Stegostoma tigrinum: one gene and its partners. The protein of the gene in region 1 interacts with the protein of each later gene in a biochemical or structural test. Links are inferred from orthologs where the notes say so. Each region holds a gene or a part of one and is shown in the gene's direction. Other genes may lie near its edges. The genes, in order: skp2, ccna2 and ccne1.

Region 1 (7,295 bases):
TGTGGCGAGCTGCCAATTTCACCTGTAACAGCACACAGGGTGCAGACGAGGGTGCATCAAAGGATACGAGCTAGTGAATGGTGTGTGTCCCAGTTCATTAAATGACTGATGCCAGCAATAAACAGTGACTTTACATTTAAACCTCTGCTCCAGAACTTGCTGTTCTCCTAGCTAAGCTCTTCCAGGACAAAGCAGCACATCCACAAGCATCCAACACCACCGATGCTCAGTAGCAGTAGAGTGTACTATATACAGGATGCACTGCAGAAATTCACCGAAGATCCTCAGGCAGCACCTTCCAAACCCACGACCACTTCCATCTGGAAGGGCAAGGGCAGCAGATACATGGGAACACCATCCCCTCCAAGTTCCCCACCGAGCCCCTCACTATTCTATCTTGGAAATATATCATCACTGTTAATGGGTCAAAATTCTGGAATTCCCTCCCTAACAGCATTTTGGGTCAACCTAGTGCACCTGTCAGTGTGGATATTTCTTACAATTACTCATCCGCTTGGATCAGGCATTCAGGATGTAAACTGGGGCACTTTGTCCAGAGGCAGCGTCAGTACATCAAGAGGTTAGAGCACTGACTGAGGTAAATTGATTAAATAACTGTGTAAACAATAACAGGCCAAACGCAGTGCTGGGAATGATGAGAGTTTTGTGACAGTTCAGTCGATAAACTATCACGAGGAGCTCTAATTCACCAACAGGTGACCACAGGGGTTCAAGAACAGACCACACCATCTTCTCCAGAGCAACTAAGGACGGGAAATAAATGCTGAATCCAACACAGGCTTCCTGTGTCATTTACCAGGTCAAAAACTGTGATGTCCAGTAGACAACTCTCCAGAATACAGGCAGAATTCCATCCGGGATGTAACTCCAAGGCTTGAAACATTGTTGCAGCACTGGGATATCCGGCACACTAGGGAGAAGAGAATGAGAACCTCAGAGTGTGAAGGTCAGTAATGACAGCACAAGCTGGAGAGGCAGGCAGTGCACAGGAAAGAAGAGTTGTCGGCACCTCGGAGAGGTGTCCATGTTGGGGGCCGAGAGGAGTAATGAGGGGGCATCTGTGGCTGGGAAGGGAGGGGGCAGGTCGGTGGTGGAGGAGGGGAGGAGTCAGAAATGGGGGAGGGTGAATTAGTTTTGAATGGACTGGCTATGGGTGTCTTACCCGTGGGAGGAGTTAGTCCTGTTGGCTGTGAACACCTTACTGGAGTTTGGGGCGCTGCTGGGTGATATCTTGGAGCTATCAACTTCACACTGTCTGTAAATGGTCTGAAACAGAAAGCATCAGTTAAACTCCACTCAATCAAAATACTCCCAAAACAGGCAGTAAAGAAAAATAGGCCAAATAAACAGTGAAGGAGACTGAGGAAAGGTCACTGGACCAGAAACGTTAACACTAACTTTTTCTTCACAGATGCTCCCAGACCTGCTGAACTTTTCCAGCAACTTCTGATGGTGTTGTTGTTGGTGAAGGAGACATCTGACACACTTGCGTTCATTGGTCACACCATTTGAGTATTGGAGTTGGGATGTCAATGTTGCACGATGTAGGGCATTAGTGAGGCCACGTTCAGAACACTGCATACAATTCTGGTTGTCCTTCTAAAGGAAGGGTGTTGAGTACAGAAGATTTACACGTCTGTTGCTGGGACTGGAGGGTTCAAGTTATAGGGAGAGGCTGAATAGGCTGGGGCTTTTTTCTCCGCAGCATCGGGGGCTGAGGGATGACATGATAGAGGTTTGTAAATCATGAGGGGCATGAACAGAGTGAATAGCCAAGGTTTTTACCCCCAGGGAAGTGGGTGGTTCAAACTAGAAGACATAGGTTTAAGGTGAGAGGAGAAAGATTTAAAAAGGGCCTGAGGGATAGCTTTTTCATGCAGAGGGTGGTGTGTGTATGGAAAGAGCTGCCAGAGGAAGTGGACGAGGCTGGTACAATTACAATATTTAAAAGGCATTAGAGGGACATGGGCCAAATGCTGACAAATGGGACTACGTCAGAATGGGATGTCTGGTCGGCACAGATGAACTGGACCAAAGAGTCTGTTTATGTATGACTCCATAAATCAATGCCCCCAGTCAATCATATCAACCAGAGGGAAGGTTTCTTCCTTTCTACCGTATCTTACGTCCCTCAAGATCATATACATCTCAATCTGAACTCGCCAGTCTCCTCTGCTCCGAGGAAAACAACTCCAGTCTGTCCAAGATGACACAGTGTGGAGCTGGAGGAACACAACAGACCAGGCAGATCAGAGGAGTTAAGAGATGATATTTCAGTTCAGGACCCTTCTTTCAGAAAGATGCTGCCTGGCCTGCTGTGTTCCTCCAGCTCCACACTGTATCTCTGACGCCAGCATCAGCAGTTCTTACTGTCTCCAGTTGGTCCAATGTCTCTTCATCTCTGAAACTTTCCAGTCGGGGCAAGCATCCTGATCAATTTCCTCTGGATCCTCTCTGCTGCTATCACATCCCGCCTATAATGTGGATTCCAGTAAACACTGGAAGGATTTTCTTGTTGACAGCAGAGTCCAAAAACAGGATAAGTCGAATAATACAAAGCTGACCGTTTAGGACTTAGATGAGGAGCAACATCTTTACCGAGACAGTGGGGAGCCAGTAGAATTCTCTGCCACAGAAAGTGGTTGATACTTTTCAAGGATACAGGGGCAGAGGGAATGGGGTACTGAGAGGGATGATCAGTCATGACTGCTAATTTTATCCTAAATAAGGATCAAGGCTGAACTAACTGGTCTGTACTTGCGTTTTTATTTTGAGCAAAAATTTGCAGCCCACCAGCTCACTGACATCAGCCCCGTATCTTTGCAATTTCCACTCTCACCTTCTACCAGCGTCCTTTGATGCATCTGATCTGATCTTATCTTGGCAACTTAACATCTTCAGGCACTGACTGCCTATGCAATTGATTTGTGCAGACTGGGCACCTCAGCAAATCATTCACATGTGGCTAGTCTAACTGTAGTTGCCAGGTGTTTTGGACATGGTGCAACGAAAGATAAACAGAACATACAAGAGGCACTGTGGGGTAAAAAGATTAGTGTGTTGTTACCGTGGTGACATCCAGAGGCAGGATGATGACAATGAGGAAGCAGAGATACCAGGCTAACAGTGTGGCTACAATCACCAGCTTGTGCTGCTTCCTGAAGTCGGCATATCGATAGAGAACCAGCAGAGCCAGGAAGAACACCACCACAATATCGATTCCCAATGCTGCCCCACTCATGGTCAGTTGGAGAATAAGAGAATGGGGGCTTTGGGAGGCACCGCTGCCCAAGAAGGCACTGAATAACCCTGTATGGGGAGAAGAAAAAGAACTGAATGTCAAAGAAAGTATCAGAGATAATGGGAACTGCAGATGCTGGAGAATCAGAGATAATAAAGTGTGAGGCTGGATGAACACAGCAGGCCAAGCAGCATCTCAGGAGCACAAAGCGTCCAGGCCCGAAACGTCAGCTTTTGTGCTCCTGAGATGCTGCTGGGCCTGCTGTGTTCATCCAGCTCCACACTTTATTATCTTGGATTGTCAAAGAAGGTGGTATGGAGAGAGGGAAAGGGGGAGGTGGAAAGGGGAGGGAAGGACAGAGGGAAAATGGGGTGCAGGGGGAGTGGGGGGGGAGAGAGCAGGGGAGGGGGAGACGGGGTGAGCGGAAGGAGGGGCCAGGGAAAGTGGGGGGAAGGGGAGGTGGGGGAGGTGGGGGAGGGGTGTGGGAGTAGTGGGGGGAGAGCAGGGGACGGGCCAGAGGGTGAGGTGAAAGGGGGAGGGAGATGTTGTTGTTTTCCTCGACCGCCCTCCCTCTCCGTCTCCGTCTCCATTGTTATTGCCTCTTCCTATCCCTCCAACCCTCTCTCTCCCCCCCCCTTCCCCTCCTCACTCCCCTCCTCCCTCACTACCGCCCCCCCCAACCAATCTCTCACTGTTTCTCTCTTCGGTTGTTTCCGGTTGAAGATGACCTCTGACACGTCGTTCGCGTCATTTCCGACGCGGCGCCTCTTGGGTAATGTAGTGTCCCGCAAGCTGGAACCTCCTACAAGCCCCAGAACGCCCGCCGGTGGCGGCCAACGACGTGGCCACGCCCCCTTCCCAAGACAGCCAATCAAACCCGGCATCCGGTTAGCGCGCGGAGTTCGAACTTCCCGCCGGAAAAGCAAGGGGGAGAGATGGATACGGGGAGGTGGAAGGGGGCGAGGGAGAGGGAGAGGGAGAGGGCCCGGGCCCGGATCGGCTCGGAGGGTGGGCCTGAGCCCGGGAAGGATACACGGTGAGTGTAAGGATTGACCGGAGCTCTGTGTCCGGGCAGTGTTTGGGGTCGGATAGTGACCGATCGTCTCCCTCAGTGTGTTGCAGGAGGTGACACCATCGAGCTGCGGCCCAAGCACAGTCCCGTGGAGCTGGGACCTCGCTGAGACCCGCTCGTTAATGACGGTGATGGGGGTCCGCCTGATCGAGGAGAAAACAAACAGAGCAGCGGAGCCTTCAGATCGAGCTGCTCCACCAAAACGTCCCAGGAGCTGCCGGGGGAAGGAGAACCAGGTGGTCTCCAAGAGGTTTCGGAAGAGTGCCCATTCTCCATCAGGTACACAGCAGCTGGTTGTGAATGTGTCGGAGGTAATGGGGAACTGCAGATGCTGGAGAATCCGAGATAACACGGTGTGTGGGGCTTGTGCTCCTGAGATGCTGCTCGGCCTGCTGTGTTTATCCAGCTCCACACCGTGTTATCTCTGTGTCGTGTCTTTGTCAAACCAAGTGGGATGCAGGGTACAAAGCTGTTTTTCTTCAGAGCATTCTGACCTCGCTGTCCCCACCCCCCAGCACTCTTAAATCTGTAGACAAACATCTTGAAGGTATCTGATGATCTAGTGGGAGTTGTTCATTGTTAATCCATCGTGCCTGAAACAAAGACAAAGTATTGGAGAAACCTATTAAGTCTGGCAGAATCTGGAGAAAGAAACAGTGCCAGGGTTTCAAGTCCAGAATGAAATTGTTGAAATTGGAATAAATAAACAGCATTTGTCAAAACAAATAACGTGTGTAATCATTGTGTAGCATACTCTAATCTTTATACAAACTGAGATTAGCAAAGATAGCCCAGAAGATAAATTTGTAGAAACCTTTCATGACCATTTCCTGAAGCAAAACATACTGGAATCAACTAGAGACAAAGTTATTTTGCATCAAATATTCTGTAATCAGGCACGTTTAAACAGTAATATAATTGTAATTGGTCTACTTGGAGATAGTGATCACAGTGCCACTGAATTCCATTTTGAAAATCACATAATCTAGCCTAGAAACCAGTTATATTATTACGAGAGAGATTGTTGGAAGTGGTAATGTTTTGTTTTATTCATTCATGGGATGTGGATGTTGCTGTCTGGGCCAGCATTTATCACCTGTGGATGTGAGTTTGCTCACTGAGCTGGAAGGTTAGTTTTCAGACGTTTCGTCACCATTCTAGGTAACATCATCAGTGAGCCTCCGACGAAGCGCTGGTGTTATGTCCCACTTTCTATTTCATAACACCATAACACCAGCGCTTCACCGGAGGCTCACTGATGATGTTACCTAGAATGGTGACGAAACGTCTGAAAACTAACCTTCCAGCTCAGTGAGCAAAATCACATCCAGAACCTCAACCTGAGCTACAAATCTTCTCAAAACTCGCTATTTATCTCCTGTCCCCACTTGCCGCCCTGAGAATGTGTTGCCGCCCTGAGAATGTGTGGTGAGCTGGCTTCTTAAATCGCTGCAGTCCGTGTGCTGTTGGTTGACCCACAATGCCCTGTGGGAGGGAATTCCAGATTTTGATCTAAGAATGGTGATATATTTCCATGTCAGGGTGGTGAGTGGCTGGCAGAGAAATTTTCAGGGAGTGGTGTTCACTGGACAATTAATCCAAGAGCCCAGGTCGTGATTTGAAGACACTTCAAATCCTACCACGGCCACTGCTGCAATTTCAATCCAATTACTAAATGTGGAACTGAAATACGCCCTCAATAATGATGGCAATTCTGTGAGAATGAAAATCTTCTTCCCCGAAAGGATTTAGTGAATGAAATTGTCTGGTCTGCAAACCCACAGCAACGGTTTGACTCTTAACTGCCTTCTGAAATGGCTAAATGAGTCTCTCAGTTTCAGGGCAATATAGGGCAGACACCAACCATCTCCCTTGCCAATGGCATCCACATTCCATGAACAAATGTTTTAAAATCCTCACGACCCGATGGCTTACTTTCACAGATTCTGAGAAGGACAATGCTGCTGAGATAGTAGATACTCTGACCATGATTGGAGAATGTTGGAATCTCCTGAGCGAAATTTTATTTAGAAGTGCAGTGTGATGAGACAAATACGGTTTTGCAAAAGGAAAGTTGCAACTGAAATTAATTTTGCTTTCCCATTATACTGTCACCAGTCGCAACCTGAGAAGGGTAAATGTTTGTTTTCAGTAATCTCTTACATATCTATTCTCATATTTGTTTTTTCCGTTTGTTTTCTATTTGTTGTCCCTCTTTGGTTTCAGTTATGATTTCTGAATTAAAACATATTTATTTTTATAGACAGGGTTGTAAATAACAAACATGCAGTTCCTAATCCAACAATTATAAATTTGGTCTCTTTATGGAAATGCAGGTGAATCTTCAGTTAATGACCACTATTTGCTTGTCAATATTAGATTCCTTTCTCAAATAAAATTTAGTGTTCATATGTTTGTTGAATTATTAGACAAATTGGGAGGGGGAGTAGAGACTTGGGCAGAGAAGTGAGGCAAGGCAGGCAGACTGGAAAACCCCAGAGGGCATCCTATTTGTTGACTGCTTTTCTGGGTTAGAAAACAATGACAGCGTGGGTTCCACTATGGAACACAGCAAGGGCAAAGTGGGCGGCCCAGCTGCATAAGGAGGGATCTTAGGTTTTGGAGTAGATTTGTAGCTCAGGTTGTGGGTGTTTGGCTCGTCGAGCTGGTTTGTTGTTCCACAGACGTTTCGTTACCATGCTGGGTAACATCCTCAGTGCAGTCTGCTATGAAACGTCAGTGTGTCTTTCTGCCTGGATTTTAAACCACAACTTCAACTGGACAACACCAAGGTCCTGGGACAGGCTAGGCAGAGACAAACATGAGAATTCCTGGAAGTGTGGCACTCCACGAAGCAGGCTATTAATAAACACATTGAACTCATAGAACATAGAACATAGAACATAGAACAGTACAGCACAGAACAGGCCCTTCAGCCCACAATGTTGTGCCGACCATTGA
Region 2 (7,976 bases), on another chromosome or scaffold:
AATTTCTGCTGCTGTGTCTTATGGTTTGGCTGTCGTTTAAATCTGGCTAGTTTTGCATTACTGGACCTAAAATGGTCTACCCCCTCACTGGTTATGTTATCACAGAAAATTATCCCAAAACTGTCAAGAAATTCATCCTTCTGAGACTTGCAAGACTGCATGTCTCATGCTATATGAAAATTAAATTGGCTTATTAAAATCAATCTGTCTTGACTGCATGCATGTCTTATCTACATTTGTGCAATTACCATTTTACAGCTGCTATTAAGGTATCTACACAACTTCCACTACAGACTTAAATATTTTCATAATTCTACCCATAAAGTCTCCAATGTTCTATCCATTCTTATTGAAGTGATTTTTTTCCTTAATCACCAAAAGCACTGTTCTGCCTTTACCATTTTCCTTTCTTTCTTATAAACTTTCTAACCTGGTTTATTTAGTTTGCAGTATAGTGGACAGTGAAGAAGGTTATCTAAAATTACAAAGAGATCTTGATCAATTGGGTCAATCGGCTGAAGAGTAGCAGTTTAATTTGGATAAATGTGAGGTACTGCATTTTGGTAAAACAAATAAAGGCAAGAATTAACCAGTAAAAGTTGGACCTTAGGTAATGTGTAGGACAGAGACCTATGCATTCAGGTACATAATTCTTTGAAGTTTGCATCACAAAGTTAGGGTGATTAGGAAGGTGTTTACCGTGCTTGCCTTTATTGCTCAGGCCTATGAGTATAGGAGTTGGGATATTATGTTGAGGTTGTACAGTACAACTATGCTCTTCACCCTCATCCTCACAGGTAGTTAAGAATAGAATAGGATCAGTTTCCAAAAATCCTTTGCATTTATCTTACCTTACAATGTGTATTGTTGGTCACACCATCCCATAATGAAGGTAGGCTAGCCAGTAATATTAGAAATGATATTAAAAGTTTCTTTCAATACATAAGAAACAAACAAGAGGCAAAAGTAGACATTGGGTCCCTCCAAATTGATGCTGGAAGGCTAGTGATGGGAGATAAGGAAATAGCTGAAGAACTTAAGTACTTTGTGTCAGTCTTCACAGTGGCAAACATGAGTAGTATGCCAACAATTAGGGAGAGTCGGGGGCAGAGTTGAGTACGGTAGGCATTACAAAAGAAAGCGCTGGAAAAGCTAAGAGGTCTAAAAATTGATAAGTCTCCTGGCCCCAACGGGCTACATCCTAGAGTTTTGAGGGAGGTGGCTGAGGAAATAGCGGAGGTGTTAGAAGTCCCAGATGATTGGAAAATCGCTGTTGCAATATCCTTGTTTAAGAAAGGAGCAAGACAAAAGATAGAAAATTATAGGCCGATTAGCCTAACCTCGGTTGTTGGTAAAATTCTAGAATCCATCATTAAGGATGAGATTTCTAAATTCTTGGAAGTGCAGGGTCAGATTAGAACAAGTCAGCATGGATTTAGTAAGGGGGAGGTTGTGCCTGACAAACCTGTTAGAATTCTTTGAAGGGATAACAAGTAGGTTAGACCAGGGAAACCCAGTGGATGTTACTTATCTAGACTTCCAAAAGGCCTTTGATAAGGTGCCTTACAGGATGCTGCTGAGTAAGGTGAAGGCCCATGGTGTTCAAGGTGAGCTACTGGCATGGATTGAGGATTAGCTGTGTGACAGAAAGCAGAGAGTTGGGATAAAAGGCTCTTTTGCAGAATGGCAACTGGTGACAAGTGGTGTCCCGCAGGGTTTAGTGTTGGGGCTGCAGCTGTTCACTTTATATATTTATGATCTGGATGAAGGGACTGGGGGCATTCCGGTGAAGTTTGACAATGATACGAAGTTAGGTGGACAGGCAGGTAGTACAGGCAGGAGGTGGGGAGGCTGCAGAAAGATTTGGAAAGTTTAGGAGAGTGGTCCAGGAAATGGCTGATGAAATTCAACGTGAGCAAATGCGAGGTCTTGCACTTTGGCAAAAAGAATACAGGCATGGACTATTTTCTAAACCATGAGAAAATTCATAAAGCCAAAGTACAAAGGGATCTGGGAGTGTTGATCCAGGATTCTGTAAAGGTTAACTTACAGGTTGAGTCCATGATTAGATTAGAGAATGTAATGTTGTCACTTATCTCAAGAAGGTTGGAAAATAAAAGCAGCAAAGCGCTTCTGAGACTTCATAAAGCTCTAGTTAGGCCCCATTTAGAATACTGCATCCAATTTTGGGCCCCACACCTCAGGAAGGACGTACTGGCACTGGAGTATGTCCAGTGGAGATTCACATGGATAATCCCTGGAATGGTAGGCCTAACATACGATGAACGGCTGAGGGTCCTGGGATTGTAATCATTAGAGTTTAGAAGGTTGAGGGAAGATCTAATAGAAACTTCTAAGATAATGCATGGCTTAGAAAGGGTGGACGCTGGGGAGTCTTTTCCGTTAGGTGGGGAGACTAGGACCCGTGGGCACAGCCTTAGAATTAGAGGGGGTCAATTTAGAACAGAAATGAGGAGACATTTCTTCAGCCAGAGAGTGGTGGGCCTGTGGAATTCATTGCCACGGAGCGCAGTGGAGGCTGGGACGTTAAATGTCTTCAAGGCAGAGAATCATAAATTCCTGATCTCGCAAGGAATTAAGTGCTACGTGGACAGTGCAGGTAAGTGGAGGTGAAATGCCCATTAGCCGTGATTAAATGGCGGAGTGGACTCGATGGGCCGAATGGCCTTACTTCCACTCCTTTGTCTTATGGTCTTAATGAACCTGCACCTCTCTATGATATCTGGACCAAACTGTTGAACATACTAAATAAAAACTGAAAGAACTGCGGGTGCTGTAAATCAGGAATAAAAAGTTGCTGGAGAAGTTCAGCAGGTCTGGCAGCATCTGAGAAGGAAAAAACAGAGTTAATGAGCCCATTTTACTTTCATGAGTTCTATCAATGTTTCTTTTAGATTAGATTAGATTCCCTACAGTGTGGAAACAGACCCTTCAGCCCAACAAGTCCACACTGCTCCTTGGAGCATCCCACCCAGACCCCCTATAATCCACACACCCCTGAACACTACGGGCAATTTAGCATGGCCGATCCACCTAGGCTGCACATCTTTGGACTGTGGGAGGAAACCGGAGCACCCGGAGGAAACCCACGCAGACACAGGGAGAACGTGCAAACTCCACACAGGCAGTTACCCGAGGCTGGAATCGAACCTGGGTCCCTGGCGCTGTGATGCTGCAGTGCTAACCACTGAGCCACCATACTGTTTCTCTTCTAATTCCCCATCTTTGTTCTATTTATGGCTATCTGAATTATTGTCATAATCTATATTATATCATTGTTCTTATTTTGTAGATAAGTTCATACTTAGACTTTTCTTATTTTCTGCTTTTTTCTCCATTACTACATTCTGTAGTAAATCATTTTATGCTTGTCACATACTGAGTCACAAAAAAGCACCTTTGCAGGATCCCTGTTCCTTTCTCTTTACATAACTCTTTGGCAATTCATTTCAAGGAATTTGGATTTTCCCTGCCTTATTACATCTTTCACTGTACACTTTCCTGCCACCATTAGGTGGTCAATGATAGATTCTTTATTGTCTTTTATGACAATCAACATAAAACCTACATGTCTTACTGCTATGTGTTAATGTTTTCTAATGTTTCTGTTATATCTAATTAATAAATTGTTCAACCTCCCTTTCTTCCTGTTTTCTGAATATTTCATTTAATATCAGTCCTTTCTTTTAACTAAATAAAAGCCAAAAGAACTGCAGATGCTGTAAATCAGGAACCAAAACAAAGTTGCTGGAAAAGCTCAGCAGGTCTGGCAGCATCTGTGAAGGAGAAAACAGAGTTAATGTTTCAGGTCCAGCGACTCTTCCTCAGAACTGATAGTTCCATTGCCAAACATCCAATTTTACTCCCATCTCCAATATCTGTAGAATCCATAAACAGAAGTATTAAATGAAAAAAAAAATTGTTTTCAAGGTCCATCTGAATTTTCTGCAACTACTTACAATAATATGTTTTAATGTTTTATGCCTGGTGATTGTTGAGTAGTCTCAACCCTGGCTGTAAACACTTAACATGATCTGTGGTAGTGCAAAAATGCTACTCCTCAGGATAATAAAAAAGTTTTAAAATTAGAAATCATCTTTTTTGGAACAGATAAGGTGACTTTTGTTCCAGCAGGTTGGAACCTTGCCTCAGAAGGCAGTGGAAATGGGGGTCATTGAATATTTTTAATAGAGATAGATTTTTGTTAAGTAGAGAAAATCAAAGGTTACTGGGGACAGATGAAAGTGTAGATTTGAAGCACAAACAGATCAACCATGGTATTATTAAATGGCAGAGCTCCAATTTCTTTACAGGCTCAAAAGTGAAGAATGATATGCACTAAACTGCACAAAAAGCCATTTTTCTAACTCTACTACACTGTGAATCAACATTTTGAAGACAATAGAAAAATAAATGGATGGGGGTGCAAGTGACAGTGCAACACATGTAAATGTAAACTGTATCAGAGATAATGGGAACTGCAGATGTTGGAGAATCCGAGATAACAAAGTGTGTAGCTGGATGAACACAGTAGGCCATGCAGCATCTTTGGAGCACAAAGGCTAACAAAATGTAAACTGTTTCCGTTTTGCTAATGGTATGTTTGCACTAATGTTAACATGTTGCATTTTTTTCTACTTCCCTGAAGGCACTCACTCGCTGTTTGCACCCCAAGCAATTCTTTCCCATCTTGCAGCTTCCGCCCATTTTCTTCTTCCTTTGATTGACAACCGCGACCGCGCGAATAATAAGAGGCAGGGGAAAAAAATTCAAATCTGAAACGGAACCGACGTGCGTCCGCACATCAAGCACCCATTGGCTGGTTTCAATAGACGCGGGACACTTGAACTGAATGGGGTTTTATCAGTTGCCGGTGGTGACGTCTGAGCTGATCAGGGGGAGGAGGAACCTGAAAAGAGCAATTGAACAAACTGTCCCAGGCCGCACGGGGGTTGGGGGGAGGGGAGGACAATTGTCTATCAATCCACGCAGTCTGGCGTTAGGTGGAGGACCGATTATAGAGCGGGACCCGGCCGGTGGCGCTCGAGCTGGGGTCGCTCCCTTTCACAGGTAACGGGGAGCCTGGACACAGCTCCGAGCCGCCAGCCCGGTCTCATTCCGATTTTAACTCGACGGTGTATTTTGCCCGTGTTTTTTGTTTCAAAGGAAACGTGTACAGTTTTTTTAAAGTAAGATTTTTAATTTTTTTTTAAAAATCCCGGAGTTCGAGAATGTATCGGGCTTCTCGCGACGCTGTCTCCAGGGACTGGGAAAACGTGCTACCCCAGGCGGTGAAAGCCGTCAGCTGGCAGGGTCAGGAACCGGGAGGCCGGGAGCGAAATGCGGGCAGAGTCGCCGTTCCTACCCCTGTCGGTGGCAGGAAGGTGCTCGGAGTGTTGCAGAGTAATCAAGCTTTACAGCCCCATCGCAAACCCGTAAGTAAAGAGGCAGGTTCTGTCACTGGATGATCGGTGCAGGTACAATCTGTCGGCGGTGGTCTCCAGTACGGACTCTGAGTACGCGAATGCCACGACTGGTTAATATATATCATCCGACGGTTTCTCGGCGATGAGGATTAGCGTTAAATTCAAATTGCTCCAACACCATTCAGTTTCCGTTTTGCAACGGCTCACAAATATCTGGATTGTCCTCCACGTTGCAATTTAAAGCTTTTACGCTGGTTGACGTTCGAAAAATAGTGGTACTCGCATATTGATAGCAATAGTTACTTGTGTGATGCAGCACTTTATTGAACGCTTACACGTAAGCATTAAAAGTGCTCCACACTCTTTAACTCTATATCAGCCCGCAAGCCAAAACGACCTTGTTGCTAGGGTGTCCTAATAGTTTCTCATAATTGGATTGCGGAAGAACTTCACATTTTACGCGTGTAGGTTTAAATTGAAATCATTGAGTTCTTCTCTTCTCCGCCGGCCTAGCAAATATTGAGGAAATCATCTACTGGATTTTAGCCTGGTTTCCCCCGATTCCGGGACTCCGGAAAGAGTGAATTTGTGAATCGCAACTATACTCTAAATCGTCAGTGATGCCACTGCAATGAGCATGCTAACGATAAAATAGGCAGTTTATTGGAAAATCGAGAACTGTATGATTCCATACGGCTTGAGTAGTATTTTAAATAGATAGGTTACTTTTTAATTAACGTCACTATAACAACTTTTTTCAAATGGGACATACTTCATGAATTTATGGTGCTTGTTCAAAGTTCAGGATCATAAACAGCTTCTTCCCGGCAGTTAGTAGACTGAAATGGACACACTCTAGCCTCAAATAATGCTCATCTTGCTAACGTTGATTTCGCCTAGCGCGTGCCCTTTGTAATGTAACCTGCATCTTTGTACAACCTCTGATCTGTACATCCTTACTTTACTGTGATTTTCTTGTACCGATTGCAAACAAAGCTTTTCACTGCACTTCAGTACTCGTGACAATAATTCAGTCAAAAGGAATAGTTGACTGATCTTGGTTACCAATAAACAGACTTTCTGTAGAGTTATATAAGCCTTTGACCTGACTGGAATCCTTGGGAGTTGAACACTTTATGTCTACCAAGGTGTTGTATGCCAATAGGGAAATAATCAAATAACTGAGCTGAGATACTCTTGTTTTCTCCACATCTGCACCTGAGTTAAATTTGCATGTTTCTGCAGTCTTGGATCATTAGTCGTAGGTGATTCTGTGCTTCACCCAGAAGCTGAACATCTGCCACAATTTTTGTGGATAGAATCATTTGGCACTTCCACCCAAATAAACCTAGAGGTGTTGGAAGTATTTTGGTGAAGTGAATATCACAATTGAACTGAATCTGCCCTCGTTTGGTTTTCAGTCTCTTCCTTTTTGTTTTTCAAGTAGAAAATTACATTTCCCCCTCCTGCTTCTGAGTCCGTTCTTCAATTCTAGAGCTACTGAATTTTTCTTTTTAAAAACATACTACTTAAAAGACACAATTCCATCTTAAAAAGTAAGAATGTGCTACTGCATTTGGAACAGAGTCTTTTTCATGACAAAGTTGAGTTCAAGAAAAGATCTGGTTTGTGATTGCTTCTCTTAAAATAATGTAATGTTATTTCTTATTTTTAAAAATCAAGCTTTGAAAAAGAGACATGCTATTGAAGTGTCTTTGCCCTACACAAGGAACATCAAATTTCAGAGGGAGCAATAATGTATGCTGTAATTATTAAAAAGAAAATATGCTGATTGGTTGGCACATCATCTCAGGTCAAGTCATTATCATGGAAAATAATGGGATAACTTGTTCTTCATTATCATGCCATCTAGACATGCTGCCATTTTCTGAAACTGTCTGCTCTGATCATGACCTGAGCAACTGTGTAGCCTTGGAAATTAACAACTGCTATACCCATAGGTAGACTTGCAATGGATACCCTATGTGCCCATCTCTCATTGAAATCTTTTGGTTTTCATATGAAAGCATATTCCATCCATCCACCCACCCCCCCCTCACACCCCCCCAAAAAAATCCTTTGCGTACTTCGAACACTGAACAGTACAGGCCCTTCGGCCCATGATGTTGTGCTGAACTTTACCCTAATCCTAAGGTCTTTCTAATCTCCACCCCTACCTTTACACTAGCATTCATATGCCTATTTATGAGCCACTTAAATGCCGCTAATGTGGCCGACTCCACTACCCTCTCCAGCAATGCATTCCTAACCCCTACCACTCTGTAAAGAACCTACCTCGACATCTCCCCTATATCTACCTCCACTCATTTTTAAACTATGTCCCCTTGTAAAAGCTACCTTTACCCTGGGGGGGTGGGGGTGGGAAAGTCTCTAGCTATCTACTTGATCTATACCTCTGATCATTTTGTACACCTCTATCAAGTCACCTGTCATCCTTCGTCATTCTAAAGAGAAGTCCTAGCTGTCTCAACTTTTCTTCGTAAGACCTTCCCTCCATTCAGGGCAACA
Region 3 (6,955 bases), on another chromosome or scaffold:
CAGCCCAATTCATCCCGTTCCCCCACTGCACCACACAACCAGCCCAGCTCTTCCCCTCCACCCACTGCATCCCAAAACCAGTCCAACCTGTCTCTGCCTCCCTAACCTGTTCTTCCTCTCACCCATCCCTTCCTCCCACCCCAAGCCACACCTCCATCTCCTACCTACTAACCTCATCCCACCTCCTTGACCTGTCTGTCTTCCCTGGACTGACCTATCCCTTCCCTACCTCCCCACCTATACTCTCTCCACCTATCTTCTTTTCTCTCCATCTTCGGTCCGCCTCCCCCTCTCTCCCTATTTATTCCAGAACCCTCACCCCAACCCCCTCTCTGATGAACGGTCTAGGCCCGAAATGTCAGCTTTTGTGCTCCTGAGATGCTGCTGGGCCTGCTGTGTTCATCCAGCCTCACATTTTATTATCTTGGATTCTCCAGCATCTGCAGTTCCCATTATCAAGGAAATCAGGAGGGCAGTTTTGGCTGAGAAGACAATGGTGAATCCAAAGAGGATCTTTAAGTATTAAAGGAAGAAGGATAACTAGAGAAACAATAGGACCCTTCAATGTCCAAAGTGGACATATATGTGTGGAACTGCAGGATATGGGCATATCACACTGGAGGTGGTGTTGTAAGTATTAGAATGCATGGATGGATAAGTCTCCTGCTTCTAACCAGGTATATCCAAGAACCTTGCAAGAAGCTAGGAAAGAAACTGCAGGGTCGTGGCCGATATATTTGCATCATCGTTACCCATAGATGACGACCCAGAAGACTGGTGGATAGCGAAGCTTCTGCTCTTGTTCAAGAAGAGTTGCAAAAACAAACTGGGAATTATAGACTAGTAAGCTTAACATCTGTGGTATTCTGAGGGGTATACATCCATTTGGAAAGGCAGGGTTGATTAATAGTAGCAGCATGGTTTTGAGCATGGGACATCATACCTCACAAATTTGTTAGAATTCTTTGAAGTGACCAGGAAAGTTGATGAGGGCAGGTCGGTAGATGTAAACTATATGGGTTTCAGTAAGGCCTTTGATAAGGTTCCACATTGTAGGCTGGTTAGATGGTTAGATCGCATGGAACCCAGGGAGAGCTGGCAGATTAGATACACAATTGGCTTGATGGTAAGAAGCAGAGAGTAATAGTGGAAGGATGCTTGTCAGACTGGAGGTCTGTGAATAGTGGTGTGCCTCAGGGGTCTATGCTGGGCCCATTGTTGTTTGTTATCTATGTCAATGATTTGGATGAGAATGAGGATGAGAAAGCATGATTAGTAAGTCTGCAGATGACACTAAAATTGGTAGTATCGTGGACTGTGACGAAGGTTATTTGAAATTGCAGCAGGATCTTGATCAGTTGGGGAAGTGGGCTGAGAAATAGCAAACGGAGTTTAATATAGATAAGTGTGACGTGTTGTATTTTGGAAAGTCAAATCAAGGTAAGAGTTTCATGGCAAATGGAAGGGCCTTAATGAGTGTAGTGAAACAGGGGATCTTGAAATATAGGTGCACAGTTCTCTGAAAGTGGAGTCACAGGTAGACAGGGCAGTGAAGAATTCTTTTGAAACACTGGCCTTCACCAGTCAGGGCACTGAGTATAGGAGTTGGGCAGCTAGTTGCAGTTGTACGGGACGTTGGTGAGGCTACCCTTGGAATAATATGTTCTGTTTTAGTCACCTTGTTGTGGGAAGAATGTTATTAAAATGGAAAGAGGGCAGAAGAAATTTACAAGAATGTTGCCAGGACTCCAAGACTGATTTATAGGGAGAGGATGGACAAGCTAGGACTTTTCTCTTTCAAGCTTAGGAGACTGAGGGGGCATCTTACAGAAGTGCATAAGATCATGAAAGGCATGAATAGGGTGAATGCATTCAGCCTTTTTAACAGGTTTGGGAAGTCGAGGACTAGAGGGCTCAGTTTAAGGTAAGAGGGGAAAGAATACATGGGAACCTGAGGGCAACTTTTTTAGACAGGATGGTATGCATATGGAATGAGCTGCGGAAGTAGTGGTGGGGAGGGGTGCATCAACAACATTTGGACAAAAAGACGGATAGAAAAGGTTTAGAAGGATATAGGTCAAGTGCAGGGCAATGGGGTTAGCATGGATCAACATGGTCAGCATGGTCCAATTTGGGACAAAGGCCCTGTCTTTGTGCTGTAGGATTCTATGATTGTCTAACTGTAAAATTTTTTTTGCCAGAGTTTGCATTGAGAGGCAAAATGATGATGCTTGTTGCTGCCATGAATGAAAGTTGTCCATAAAGATCTAGCAAGCTTTAAGAAATTGATTTTACCTTTATTGACATTAAATTAATTTTGGAATCAGCTTCGAGAATGGTTCAACAACAGTGATGTTACCATGCAAATGAAGCAGCCAATCACAAAGCAGAGTTCTTATAGGCAGCAAACCAGGAAATAACAAGCAGGTTTTAACACTTATGTTTCACTAAATCATCGAAAGTAAAATAAACATGATACATGATCAAGGTGGGGGAAGAAATACAAGTTTCTTTTAAATTGTACTTTAAAAGCCTGTAGACTTTTAAAGTCATTGAATGAAAATGACATTTCACAAATATAAATGATAAAACCCAGAAAGTTGGTTGAGCACTGTTTAAAACTCTGTTCATCTCAGTCAACTCTAACACGTTCAAAGTTTTTTTTTACAGACTCAGTTGTAACATGAAAAGTGCAGGTTCAAGCCAATTCAGATGTACTCAGGAATGATGAGACACCAACAGCAATGGGTTTCTGTCACCAACTGTGCAAGTGCAAAAACTAAAAGTTTTGCCATAACTACAACTGCATCAAAATGCCATCCCTCATAAGTTTGTACATAGATATATATATACCCTTTCTATATTTATCATTTATCTTTAATTCAAGCCACTTTGCTCTGCCTAACAGCCCTGAAATTAAAGTCTCCGACAAAAAGGTCTTCGCTTTCACTTCTATTGTCCTGATTTCTGAACAAAACAACATTCTGACACATTACTGTTGTAGCAGGAAGTCTGTAGGTTACAGCTACTACCCCTTTCTTTTTCCTTAATTGGAGTTGGTGACTTAAGGAATGATCAGCAATTAAGGGTGATAGCAAAATATGTGAAGCGTTTGCAATATCATAAAGTGGTTCTTAAGAACATACCAGTCTATTGTGAGAAGGATCATTTGGTTTTCAGATGCGGCTACAATCCAGGGAAATAAATAAAATGACAACAAACAGTGAAGACCTGAAGCCAGTTGGGGGAATGGGTGATAGGAGGCAAAGTTGAGAGATACATACAACCCCAGCCTCCTCACAGGCCTTCCTGGTTATCTGAGACACTGACAACCCACTGAGAGAAGCCCCTAGAAAAGAGGAGGTAGATATTGTACGAGAGTATCAGTCACTGTCACCCCCGATCAATGACAGGACTGACCTCTCACCTGGCATTGGCCGCAGCTGCACCATCTCCAGTACAACACAATGAGCTTGCACGGTCTCACAGCTGCTACAAGCTCATCACCTCTGAGATCTAAGCGAGGGTTCAAAGCAGCAGGCTGCTTGGTGACCCTCTCTCACTGACAGTCAAAGACACACATGATGTAGAGGTGCCGATGTTGGGGTGGGGTGGACAAGGTCAGAAATCATCAGGTTTATTTGAAAACACAAGCTTTTGGAGCTTCAGTCTAGGTCGGGAAAGGGAATGAGCCTGGCCCTAAGGCTCCATGGCTCTACGGCTCCAGGCCCCCAGGCTGAAGGCCGGGAATTTTGTTTATCTTCGACCCACGTACTGACCACATCCCCAATCTTCACCGTCATTATCGCCACCCATTTCGCACTGGTGGGCGGGGTCGGAGAGGGGAAGTGTGGCGTGATGTGGCGCATGACGTTCTGGGTGGGTGGGGTTCCTGGGAAGGGCGGGGTTTGGCAGCGAGTCTGTTTGAGTGGGACAAGCCGGACACAAGGGGTGAAGGAGGGAGCATGAGCTAAGGAGCGCGGGGCGGAGCCTAAGGGGACAGGGGCGTGGCCTGTGACAACTTCCTCCGGCTGAGAACGCGCGCTTGACTCCCGCCAGCGATTTAAAGGGATCAGCGCAAGCGCGATGAAGAGAGACTAGCCGGCACTGTGGAGCGGAGCTGGGCTAAGAGCGGGAGCCGGCTGAGGGCTAACTGGAGGGAAGCATCAGCGGCAGGCTACAGAGCAAGAAGACAGGGGGCGATAAGACCATAGAAACGGGGCACAGATACCGAGGGTCACCTAGTGGTGAGCACCAGCTGACACCCCATCAGCGCAGGCTGGTCGTACCCACATTCTTCCCGGTTAAACAGCAGGCAGCGCGGGGTCCCGGCTTCGGCCATCTTCGGCTGTGCGCTGAGATCAGAGGCCGGCTTGGGGCTGAGTGCCCTCCCTCTCATCCCCTCTTTTCCCAACACCAGTAATGTGACTGGGCCAGAGGAGCGTGGCCCCCACCCCATCCCGCGCCCAAACCTGAGGTCCACTCCTGTGAGTAAGCAGCAGCAACCACCTCACTACCTCGAGAAGCGACAGTAACTTCATGCAGCCTCTCCCTTCTGAATTACAGGAGATCTTTAAACCACACAAACAACACTGAAGATGCCCAGAAAAAGGTACATTTTAAAGTGAGTTGAAAGCAGTGCCGTGTTACCAGTTATAAATTCACGGTGGGTGTCTCTACAAGGCCTAATCTCTACAAGGCATTTTGCCATAATGAGCAAATGTGCATTTTTTAAGCTATTATTTCTTTTCAGTGAATTAGTAGACCAATCAACGAAAACTGAAGAAACGAACAGGATTGTGCTGCATACCCGAAAGCGAAAAGCCGACGTTGCCATTGTAAGTTTAACCGCACATGAATATGCCATTGTGCTTTAGCACGCTTTCTAAGTTTGGTAATCGGTCTTTTCTGATCGTAGTGTTTGCAAGACTTGGATGAACTTACAGAAGTGCAGTCTACGAAACCATACGAAAAGGAGGTAATAGAATATGAGGTCTGCAGGTTTTATTTAACTATGACTTTTGCTATGCGTAGATGATTGTTTGTTTAGCCAACCTCTTAATCTTGAGCTATTTCGATTCTGGTCAACATGTTGCCACTAACTGAATAGCAGTGTTGTACATTGTTTAGGCATATAATCCAGGCCTTGGTCGTCTTGAACATGTTTTGGTTTCTCAGGAGCACTTGATTAGCTTCACAGTAAGCAAATTATCCAATAACTGAGTATTAAAATTAAACCACTGTGGTGGTTTCTAGAGTGCTTTTTTCCCCTTGACCCAAATATTTTAATAAAATCTGGGGTTTAATATCTTTCAAAACTAGCCAAGAGTATCTAGCAATGCTAGAATTCTAGTGTGGCAATACCAATAGATCTTGCAGTAAGGTTTTGTGAAGCAGGTAGGCTGGGATGTAGGGCACCTGGGCAGAAATTTTGGTTGTAACTTTTTAATAGTTTTATCTCAATACTTTGGATCTGGGTAAATCTAACACTGGAAAATCAGCTCAAAATTGCACAATTTAAAAACTTCACTCAGGGAACTCACAAGTATGATGCAAGAACTAAGTGTAAGAAATAGCAACAGGAGTAGGTTGTTCAGTCCTTCGAGCCTGCTCTGCTATTCAACAAGGTGATGGCTAATCCAACTTTATGGCTCCTTTTGTACAATGCTATTCACACTGTCCCTTTACCAGAACAGCCCATGTTTGAGTTGCCACTGATCCTGTCCTACCATTTAACCAACTTAATTGAAGGAACATCTTGTAGCATCCCTACAGTGTGGAAACAAGCCATTTGGCCCAACAGGTCCAGTCTGCCCCTCCTGAAGAGCACAACAGTCAGACCCATTTCCCGTGCCTAACATCCCTGGGCACTATGAATTTATTACGGCCAATCCACCTACCCTGCACATCTCTGGACTTCAGGAGGAAACTGGAGCACTCAAAGCAAACCCGTGCAGACACTGGGAGAATGTACAAACTCCACACAGACAGACCCGAGGCTGGAAGTGAACCTGGGTCCCTGGCACTGAGGCAGCAGTGCTAACTACTAAGTCTCTGCGCTGGCCCAAAGGGTGGAGAATGTGGGCTCCGATCCTGCTACCTCACAGTTCTAGGTGAATTGGAGTAATTCTGCCAAGTTGTTGGTTTTTTTATTCCTTCTCTAGCTTTAATGAAAGATAGTCAAGCATGGTTCTAACATTACCAGCTAATCAAGTGATTCTAGTGAATTGGGGTAAAGTGACAGTATTGGAATAGCAGCATGGAATGTTAATTGAGAGGGATTAGCCAGTTCAGACTTTTGGACTAGTGATGTTTTTTTGCCACTGTTAAGCTGAATTCAGTCTGAAAATTGACAACTATTCTAATGATTAGTTTGTTTGCAAAATTGACTAATTGCAGGATTGCTGGACTACTGTAGCCAACTGTATGAGTCCATACAGACTACATGCAACATCATGCACAAATCTAGATGACATGGTTACATCAAATTCTACTAGCTGTGTGCAGTACAGGCTCAAAAATGTTTTAGCCACTCCAACTAGAGCTTCACCATTACCAGCATTGTGGTAAGTATTTATACACTAAACTTGCACTGTCTTAGCCATATTTCATAATGCAAGAAGACAGCTTTGCATAGGTCAATTATGGTGACATTATTTTCTTAAATACAAATAGCTGGGGAAATCATGAAGAAGTATGGAATATCCTTCTGAAGAAGGAGCAGGCTTACTTGAGAGACAAAGATGTTTTCCAAAAGCATCCACTCTTGCAACCTAAGATGAGAGCTATTCTTCTTGACTGGTTAATGGAGGTAAGGACTTTGTAACGAGTACTCATTCAAACTTCTGTGTGGATAATGTGGTTTTTTTTAAAATTTAAACCAATATTGGAAATAGTCCCCAAAAAGTACTCTTCAAATGTTAACAAATCCTTTTTTGGATGAGAACAAGATCCC

The links.
Region 2: the proteins of skp2 (region 1) and ccna2 are reported together in a solved structure, tested with the Homo sapiens proteins (2 studies listed by BioGRID, with this or other methods). The link is inferred for Stegostoma tigrinum from reciprocal best matches to the Homo sapiens genes SKP2 and CCNA2.
Region 3: the proteins of skp2 (region 1) and ccne1 form a complex in vitro, tested with the Homo sapiens proteins (2 studies listed by BioGRID, with this or other methods). The link is inferred for Stegostoma tigrinum from reciprocal best matches to the Homo sapiens genes SKP2 and CCNE1.

What each region holds. Positions count from the first base shown.
Region 1 is NC_081356.1:138,440,579-138,447,873, reverse strand, and holds the start of skp2 (S-phase kinase-associated protein 2), read left to right. Parts: upstream 1-4,190; 5' UTR 4,191-4,197; coding exon 4,198-4,298; intron 4,299-4,374; coding exon 4,375-4,613; intron 4,614-7,295. Other genes in the region: G-protein coupled receptor-associated protein LMBRD2B, read right to left, coding at 818-931, 1,184-1,287, 1,420-1,620, 3,089-3,262. UniProt on the Homo sapiens protein: Substrate recognition component of a SCF (SKP1-CUL1-F-box protein) E3 ubiquitin-protein ligase complex which mediates the ubiquitination and subsequent proteasomal degradation of target proteins involved in cell cycle progression, signal transduction and transcription.
Region 2 is NC_081354.1:36,737,071-36,745,046, forward strand, and holds the start of ccna2 (cyclin-A2), read left to right. Parts: upstream 1-4,946; 5' UTR 4,947-5,091; intron 5,092-5,245; 5' UTR 5,246-5,252; coding exon 5,253-5,456; intron 5,457-7,976. UniProt on the Homo sapiens protein: Cyclin which controls both the G1/S and the G2/M transition phases of the cell cycle. Functions through the formation of specific serine/threonine protein kinase holoenzyme complexes with the cyclin-dependent protein kinases CDK1 or CDK2.
Region 3 is NC_081369.1:32,653,021-32,659,975, forward strand, and holds the start of ccne1 (G1/S-specific cyclin-E1), read left to right. Parts: upstream 1-3,951; 5' UTR 3,952-4,598; coding exon of another isoform or gene 4,599-4,624; 5' UTR 4,625-4,712; coding exon 4,713-4,838; intron 4,839-4,918; coding exon 4,919-4,978; intron 4,979-6,399; coding exon 6,400-6,566; intron 6,567-6,675; coding exon 6,676-6,811; intron 6,812-6,955. UniProt on the Homo sapiens protein: Essential for the control of the cell cycle at the G1/S (start) transition.